Linked DNA regions of Caenorhabditis elegans. The protein of the gene in region 1 interacts with the protein of each later gene in a pairwise test. Each region holds a gene or a part of one and is shown on either strand. Other genes may lie near its edges.

The links.
Region 2: the proteins of F46C5.9 (region 1) and Y48G10A.2 interact in a two-hybrid assay, tested with the Caenorhabditis elegans proteins (one large-scale study listed by BioGRID).

Annotation. Positions count from the first base shown.
Region 1 is NC_003280.10:8,808,084-8,812,607, forward strand, and holds F46C5.9 (WD_REPEATS_REGION domain-containing protein), read right to left. Parts: upstream 2,647-4,524; 5' UTR 2,639-2,646; coding exon 2,514-2,638; intron 2,464-2,513; coding exon 2,106-2,463; intron 2,061-2,105; coding exon 1,934-2,060; intron 1,887-1,933; coding exon 1,657-1,886; intron 1,610-1,656; coding exon 1,470-1,609; intron 1,282-1,469; coding exon 1,139-1,281; intron 942-1,138; coding exon 709-941; 3' UTR 553-708; downstream 1-552. Other genes in the region: F07H5.10 (Decapping nuclease), read right to left, coding at 1-88, 140-235, 287-499; rer-1 (Protein RER1 homolog), read left to right, coding at 3,292-3,354, 3,408-3,512, 3,623-3,718, 3,764-3,849, 3,905-4,040, 4,089-4,178.
Region 2 is NC_003279.8:13,484,344-13,489,513, reverse strand, and holds the start of Y48G10A.2 (E3 ubiquitin-protein ligase UBR7), read left to right. Parts: upstream 1-2,145; coding exon 2,146-2,149; intron 2,150-2,203; coding exon 2,204-2,550; intron 2,551-5,074; coding exon 5,075-5,170.

The DNA.
Region 1 (4,524 bases):
GAATTGCCATCAATTCCATTGGTTTTTGCTTTTGCATCACATCATCAATTGCACAAAGGACATAGCGACAACAGAGAAATCTCGTTTTCTGCAAAATAAAAATGAGTTTTTTTTTTCTTTTACATAAATATCCAATTACGAGTTCGGTGAATCGGCTCACTCGTGGACGTGGAATACGATCGAGAAATCTTGTTTTAGATTCAAACTCATAGAGATGGTAGATCGAATGTTGGTTCTGAATATGAATTATTGAAGAATTGCCGTGTTAAACTATGGAATGTCTTACAATAACACTTTTCGACTTAGGATCGTATCCCTCCAGAACATTTATATTGACATTTCTCTGGTTAATCATGTTCTCGATAAGCATCGGACGTGTGCTACATGCAGGTGCCACTGAATCATTGCAGGAAGTGTATTCTATATTGAGATTGATCACAGGTTTCGCTCTAACTCCCGTTGGGGGTCTGTTATCGTACGGTCGAGGAGGAAGACTCATCTATTTAGAAAGGAGTAATTTCCTAAATAAATGTTTCAAACATAACAAAATATAATTTTCACGGGATTTATAACAGAGAACGTGGGAAAAGCCATTAGATAAAGTTTACGTACACGTATTTATAAAATCAAATGATGCGAAGAAATAAATAAATAAACATAACACCGCTTTAGGAGGGAATTATTGGCACTTTACACGAATAAAATAAATTATTTTTCGAATTGCTTCAGAAGTTCCTGAGCCTCATCAATCTGCTCTTTGATACGGCGACGAGCACCTTCCTGTGTGATTTCTGGAAGCTCTCGGTTCAGTTTAACCACTCTGCTGTGCCACTCTGGAACATTCCGAATGACACGGACATATTTGTCTCCACATGTTGCAATATATTTTCCGTCAGAGGAATAGGCAATCGATGAAATTGTAGTCGAGCAGATGTCTTTCACTGAAAATTTGTAATGTGGTTTCAGTTTTCAAGAATCGTGGATTATTTACAATTAAACTGTTCTAAAATTAAACTAATTTTCGAAAATGAGCAAATTGACAATGTTCAGAAAGTTCAACAGAAAAAAAATCCGATATTTTAGAAAAAAGTTTTAAATAAATGTTTGATATTGAAAAATCCAATCAATTTTGTCTTACATTCCGGATAGTCCTTGGTTTCGTCTTCCGAAGCGAACACCTTCAAATCTGTCTTGAACGAAACTGCAAATGAGTCACCACTTGGGCTCATTTCTAATCGCACGTGTTCACTTGTGGCGGCATGCAGAGGAGCCCAGCTTCCCCTGAAAAATTGTTACTTTCTAGTGTGAATTCAATAAGACGCAGTGCTTAACAGAACACAATTTTATCATCAACTCGCCTCTCTTTCGCTATAGACGTCTACTCACTTTCGTTGCCTAGCAATCACCTATTCTATTTTCTCATTTTATCCCGCTATATAATTTCGGTTTCTCGCTTTTCTTTAACTCACTCTCTCAAAATTTTGGAATCTTGCCCAGCCTCATAGCGAATATCGGTGTCGAAAATGCGCCATTTTCCGTCTCTGGAGACTGTGACCGCACGAGTCGATGAGTTGTTGAAAGCAGCAGCAAGTACTCCAGATTGGTGACCCTAAAAATAATTCAGATGAAATTTTGGAAATCATGAATGTAGCTTACACTGAGACTGAACACTTTCTTGGCACTCTGGAATGTTCCATCTCTTGTAAAAATTGGCTCGAAAACAAATACATCTGGTGTGAATCCTGATACAATGATAAAACGACCATCAGGAGAGAGACGACAGTCATATAGACTGCTCACTTTAGCATCAATTGACTGTAGAAGTTGTCCGCGTAGATCGTAAAGACAAATTTTGTTATCGAGTGCTGCACTCATCAGGTATTTCGCTGAAAATTAAAAATAAATTGCCAAACAATTTTCGCAGTTAACTTACCGTTTCCGGCAATGCCAATATTTTGAATATCAACCTGATGAACTCTTTCAAATTCTAAATTGTCAATATGCACAAAATGATGGGATCCTGATCCTTCGGTTTTCTTAACGAGCTTGTAGACGCAAATCTGAAAAATTATGAATGTGTTGATCAAAATTCAATCATTGTATACCTTGTTTTCTCTTTTCACACTAAATACAACACTCTTACAATCCGGAGCAAATACTACACGAGTTGGAGTGTCATATTCAACCGTTTGTCTGATACATTTGTGTTCCTTGTTCTCAAAGTCTCTAACATCCCAGAGAATAACCGAACGATCTCCGGAAATTGATACAAACTTTTTGCCATCTGAAGCAAATGCAACATCTGTCACTTCTTTTTTATGTCCTTTCAATACTGATACGTTCCATGGATGAACGAATGTTGGTTCCTTTGCTTTCCATTGATCATTCGTTCGTTGGTGCTTATTCTTCTTCACTGGTTCCTCGCTAATAATCGTCTCTGTCACTTCATCCATTACAACGTCACTGAAATGTTTCATTAAAAAAACGTTCAATTCATTATTTTAATGACTTACACTTCTTCCTGTTCTCCTTGTTGCTCCTTCTTTGCTACGTAGATTATTGCTACTCCCATCACAGTGACAAAGCCAACTAATCCCCCGATCAGAATTGGTAGACTGACACTATCGATGTCAATCATGGTTTAATCTGAAAATATTGGAACATTACTAATATTGTATCATGAAAGAACCGAAAAGTAAGAATAATTCTCGCGATTCGAAAAGGAAGATTACGGTAGCCAACCAGCTTGCAATTTTTTAAATGCCTTAAATAAGTTTTTTTTCAAATATCAATGGTAACTATAGTGGTATATAAGGTACTCTTCTATCATTTTCCAAATGTAATCACGATAGAATATAAATAGAAATAGAAATACATTAGGATATCCCTATAGCAGTTTGAACACTTTCGATAACAAAAACTTCGCAAAACTGAATCAATCTTGTGAAATTCCCATTAATGCTCAAAACAATTCAAAGAAATAAATTTAGGTAGTTTCAGAATATTTTGCTATATAAAATATTTTCATTTTTTGATGAAAAAATAGCAAAAAATAACAGAAAACTTGAAAATTGAATTTATTCATCCTTAAAAGTTTTGAAGAGACAGTGTGCATTCTGCCGTCACCGTGTTTGCGTATATTTCTACGTGTACTTCTTTTTTAATCGAAATCAATATTTCCCAACTTTTCACGTATTTTCATCACGTCTATGAAGTTTTTATTCTCAATTAATTCTTGATTAATTTAAAAATTAATTTTTCAATTGTTCATTATCAATTTCATCAGGTAATATGGACGACGGACTTCGGGACAGGCCAGGTGTAACATCTCGTTTCTTTCACAGTTTGGAAGTGGTGAGTTAATTTTAATCAGAATGCAAATTGTGACTTTATTGATTATGTTGCAGAAGTATCAATACTATCTCGATCGTCTCACGCCACATACTGCATTCCGATGGGTTATCGCTCTGATCTCGCTCGTCTTCTTTGCGTCTAGAATTATTCTCTTGCAAGTAAGTGAGCACAAATAGAAAATATGTTAAAATTTTTCAAAAAAAAAAGTTCATCACCAACGAGTTATTTTTTTTTTCTTCAAGTCACGTTATAATTAATTTGATTTCAGGGATTCTACATTGTTGCATATGCTGTCGGTATCTACTATTTGAATCTCTTCTTGCTCTTTTTAACTCCATCAATTGATCCAGCTTTAGAGTTCGAGGTTTGTTATTTTATTTTGTTATGAAGTAAACATTATTTTCTGCAGGATGAAGATGATGGTCCAGTTCTTCCATCGAAAACAAACGACGAATTCCGCCCATTCATGCGTCGTCTGCCAGAGTTTAAGTTTTGGTTAGTCTTTATTATCTTGAAACGGAGAAAGTCATTCAAAATATTATTTTTCTAGGCACTCCTTCATGAAGGCCACTCTGATCGCAATCACTTGCACCTTCTTCGAATTCTTCGATGTTCCAGTATTCTGGCCAATTCTTGTCATGTATTTCTTCATCCTTACCTTCCTCACTCTCAAGAGACAGATTATGGTATGTTTTTTAAACTCGTCATTCTTTTCAAAATAATATGTATTCCAGCATATGATCAAATATCGATACATTCCATTCACAGTGGGAAAGCCACGAATGGCTGGAAAGGAAGACACCGGCAAAGTTGTCGTCGGTTGAAACGGGTCACTCTTAATCTGTCGTTCTTAGTCTTGTTTTAAAGTTTTTCGTAAAATATTAAAACAGTTTCATAATTCTAATTGTTATTTTGAAAGAATTATAGAAACACATATGACTTATTTATTCAAAAGCCAATGTTTTGAAACATCTCAAAGTAACGAGTCCCCGTATTAAATTATTTGCTTTCCTCCTGTTTTCCCTTTTGATTTTTTAATAGTTTATTGCTCTTTCACACAACGTTTCCTTCCAAAATCAGCTTTGTCTTTGCTCCAATAATAAAAAAACGACCTGCTTGATTTGTTGCGCGTCTTCTTACCAAATGTGATTTTATTCGTGTTTTATGTTT
Region 2 (5,170 bases), on another chromosome or scaffold:
CGTCAGAGAAAAATACAGATTTTTGCGTATACTTCCTGAAAATAGAGGAAAAAAGCTTGAAATTAGTGGAAACGTTGAATTTCGATTTGTTTTTATCGGGAAAACACTAGAAATTCAGCGAAAATACGCTGAAATTCAATTAATTAAAATTAATTAAAATCAGTAAAAAGCAAACGCGCTCCATCGCCACGCGGTAGAGAGTGGAGACGTAGAGAACGATTTGCTAGATTTCGAATTTTTAATTTAATTCCCAAAGTTTTTCGTTGTTTTTCGTGTATTTTCCACAGAAAATCTAGGTTTTTTGTAATTTTCTACTATTAAATTTAACGATTTCTAATATTTCTCTAGTTTTAAACCCATCGCCGCACTTTTCCTGCGTAGAACTAAAAAGCAAAATTTTTTTTTTTTTTGGCTTTTTTTCGTCAATTTTCAGGTTTTTTGCGGTTTTTCTTTAACAAAATTGATTGTAAAACAGCTTTTTAGCCTAATTAACTCTATTTTCGGCAAAAAACTATTTTTCGCGAAATTAAAGAGGGGGTACGTTTTCGTAAGGGGATTTTTTCGTAAGGAACGCTTTCAGTAGGGCAATGTGCGGCGCGCCTTTTCGCAAGCCCGCCGCACAGTCCTTCGCAATGCGCCGCACGGCTTTTTGCAATGCGCCGCACGCTTCTTCGTATTTATTTATTTATTTTTCCAACAGGAAATTTCGAACGGAATTCAATTAAAAACGGATTTTTAATGGAAATTAAATAGTTTTATTCGAGCTAAATACGGATATTTTCAGAATTTTCGATGACAAAAACGGGTTTCAATCGATTTCGAATCGATCAAAATTAATATTAATCGAAAATGAGCGTTTCCTTCCCGGAAAAAAGAAGAACTTGATGCTGAGAGTGATCCAAGCGGAGCCAAACGCTTTTTTAGAGGCAAGTATTATTGATGTCTAAAGATTAATTGAAGAGTGAAAAGTATTTTTCAGCGTTCACAAACAACCCGAGTGAGCAGCAATTTTCCAAGCTGAAGGCAAGTTTCTTTTTGTAGTTTTTTAAGTTCTCAAATAGGTATATAACATCGATTTGTTTTGTTTTCCAGAGAATGTATCATCACAACGACTATCAAAACCTGCGAGGAGTGATTCAAAAGACCATTCAACTATCAAAATCATTGATCCTAGACTTGAAGAGACGATCCGGAAATCGAACAACCGCTGTGCCATTATACAAAAACCCCGATTTCTGTACTTCAGTGTTTTTGAATTATACCGGTTTCAGTGCTTTTAATGAGAAACTTTTCCCTTTTATGGAAATTCCGAAATGCTATCACTGATCTCTTTGTTTACCTCTGTGCCATTGGATTATAGAAACAATTTTCCATACTCAGGTTATCCAAATTTCGCCATGATTTTTCTTACTTAATTTAATCGAATTAACTTTTGTTTGCAGTTTTATTTTCCATTTCGACTGAATAAAAAATCACTTCTATCATTTTAATCGTTTGGCTCCGCCTGGATCACTCTCAGCATCAAGTTCTTCTTTTTCCGGGAAGGAAACGCTCATTTTCGATTAATATTAATTTTGATCGATTCGAAATCGATTGAAACCCGTTTTTGTCATCGAAAATTCTGAAAATATCCGTATTTAGCTCGAATAAAACTAATTAATTTCCATTAAAAATCCGTTTTTAATTGAATTCCGTTCGAAATTTCCTGTTGGAAAAATAAATAAATACGAAGAAGCGTGCGGCGCATTGCAAAAAGCCGTGCGGCGCATTGCGAAGGACTGTGCGGCGGGCTTGCGAAAAGGCGCGCCGCACATTACCCTACTGAAAGCGTTCCTTACGAAAAAATCCCCTTACGAAAACGTACCCCCTCAAATTAAAAAAAAAATAGTGCAAACGCGCTCCATTGGCACGCGCGAGAGAGTGAAGACGCAGAGAACGGCTTGCTAAGTTTAAAATTTTCGAATTAATTAATTTTCCCATTTTTTCTTGTTTTTCCGCCGATTTTCAGAGTTTTTCTTGGTTTTTTCCCGATAAAATCGACTTTAAAAATTATTTTCAGCGTTTTTATTCAATTTTTACCTAAAAATCTCACGAAAAATGTAGTTTCAGGAAATAATCGATCAACTAACGGATCAAATTTGTACAATGAGTAAGTTTTTCCGATGAAAAATGATAAAATTAATATGAAATTCACGATTTTCAGTGCGAAACTCTCACACAATCGAGAATTTCGAGCGAATGCCGGACGGCGAAACGTCGAGTCTGCCGGATATCACAAATTATCAAGAAAGTGTGGACGAAAATCCCGTTGAAGAGTGCTCGGCGTACTCGGATACCATCGCAACGTGCTCAATGTGCTTGCAAGTGGCTCCGCACAGCCAATTCTTCGCGTGCACCTATCCGGGATGCGGTTACGCGTTGAAGCAGAAGGAATCCGTCAAGTCTCCGACACTTTTCTACAGAAAAGAGAGAGTTTTGTGTGGAGCGTGTGCTTTTCTTGGAGATCATGCTCATCACAAGGCCTATTTGCTTAAGGCCGATAAGCTCGCGGTACGGGCTTTTTTCCGAATTTTCAAAAAATCATATAAAATCTAGAGAAATTTTTTGAATATTTTAATCATGATATTCGGTCATTGTGACCCCATATGCGTGTTTTAAAGCAATTTCCCCACAGAGTGGAGTACACCTTTAAAGGAGGACTAACGGTTCGGACGATTTTGAACGTATAGACTCAAAATGAGCTCAAATAAACGAATTTCGTAATGATACTGCTCAAAAATTTTTCAAAAATTTTTTATGGGGGTTCAAAATTTTGATAAAATTACACTGATTTTAGCTAAAATCACGATTTTTTCCCATTTTTCCGTGTCACGTCCATCCGAAGTTAGCTTTTTTTGGAATTATCGTACTTTATTGCATATATTGGTATTTTATCTCATTTAATTTCGTCGATTAAAGTACATTCAAAGCCGATAGGTAACCAATTTCGATGATTTTTGGTTACCTATCGCCGATAAATGTACTTTAATCGACGAAATTAAATGAGATAAACTACCAATATATGTAATAAAGGACGGTAATTCCAAAAAAGACAACTTCGGATGGATGTGGCACGAAAAAAAGAGAAAAATTCGTGATTTTAGCTAAAATCAGTGTAATTTTTTTTCAAAATTTTGAACCGCCATAAAAAATTTTTGAGCAGTTTCATTGCGAAATTCCTTCATTTGAGCTCATTTTGGGTCTATATGTTCAAAATCGTCCGAACCGTTAGTCCTCCTTTAAAGGTGTACTCCACTCTGTGGGGAAATTGCTTTAAAACACGCATATGGGGTCACAATGACCGAATATCATGATTAAAATATTCAAAAAATTTCTCTAGATTTTATATGATTTTTTGAAAATTGAAAAAATCTCAGTTTTTCCCCTAATTCCTATTTGAATTTCCGCCAATTGAACTCGTTCGATGGAGCGCGCTTGCATTATTTTTATAAATGTATTTCATCTATTCACACTATGTCACTGATTTTCTTCACTTTTTTTGTATTTTTTTTGATGGAAATTGGAATGAAAAACTAAGATAAATGCAGAATGTTTGTTTGCAAAATCACTGAAAATACGTAAAACAGTAAAATAATGAGTACAGTTTTACGCTTTTTCAGTGATTTTTAACAAACATTCTGCATTTATCTTGGTTTTTCATTCCAATTCCCATCAAAAACACAAAAAAAAGGGAAGAAAATCAGTGAAAATAATGTTAATAAATAAATTAAAGTAATAAAAATAATGCAAGCGCGCTCCATCGAACGAGTTCAATTGGCGGTAATTCAAATAGGAATTAGGGGGAAAACTGAGATTTTTTCAATTTTCAAAAAAAAATCATATAAAATTGAGAAATTTTTTTTGAATTTTTTAATCATGCTATTTGGCCATTGTGACCAGGGCTGAGCAGCCGCCCAAAAAAGTCGCCGATCGCCGATGGAAATTTTTTTTCGGCGATCGGCGATCACAAATTGCCAAAAAAAAATCGGCGATCGCCGCTTGCCGATTGCCGATTGCCGATCAGTGTGCGTCTAATTTTTTTCAATTTTAAAATCCTAATTTTAAGAGCTCTTTCAAATAATTTTTTATAAAAACAGGAATATTAGGCAACGAAAAGCACTCCTTTTTTCCTTCTTCAGAGGGGTCTATCTTGGACTATAAAATTTCATCGGCGATCGCCGATCGCCGATTGCCGCTCACCCCTGATTGTGACCCCATAGGCATGTTTTAAAGCAATTTCCCCACAGAGGCACTGCAACTTTTTTTGAACGAGGGACGAGGAAAAGCGGTTTCTAGGCCGTGGCCGAGGGCCGACAAGTTTCAGCGACCATTTATCTTGCTTTGTTTTCCGCGTGTTTTCTTTTATTTTTCACAGATGATAAGTAAATATTTTTTGCAGATGCTAAAACAATTTCCAAGTAAAAAAATTATGTATTCAGTGGGCAAGCAGCGGTTAAAGTGGGCATTGTAATATGATGCATTACGGGAATACAAAACCTAAACTTACATATGCTGCTTAAATGCTGAGACTACCTGATTTTCATAACGAGACCGCTGAAAAAGTTTTGAGGTTTTCAAAATTCAACGTTTTTGGTGAAAAAGTAGAAATTTTTGCACAAAAAGTTGAATTTTGAAAACCTCAAAACTTTTTCAGCGGTCTCGTTATGAAAATCAGGTACTTTCAGCATCTATGCAGCATATGTATCATGTTTGGAAAAAAGTTTAGGTTTAGTATTCCCGTAATCCATCATATAACATTGACCACTTTCATCACTTCTTGTCGACTGAATACACAATTTTTTCACTTGTAAATTGTTTTAGCATCTGCAAAAAATATTTACTTATCAGTTTTAATAAGAAAAAAACGGGAAAAATCTGTGAAAAATAAAAGAAAACACGCGGAAAACAAAGCAAGATAAATTGCCGCTAAATCTTGTCGGCCCCTCGGCCATGGCCTAGAAACCGCTTTTCCTCGTCCCTCGTTCAAAAAAAGTTGCAGTGAGAGTGCACCTTTAATTTAAAACAAATTTTTCAGTTTCTGACCGCTTCTCGTGAAATCGGCGGGAAATTGGAGATGGATATGGAGGAAGTGTGCAGACTCGATAAATCTCATCCAGTTGACAATGCGATG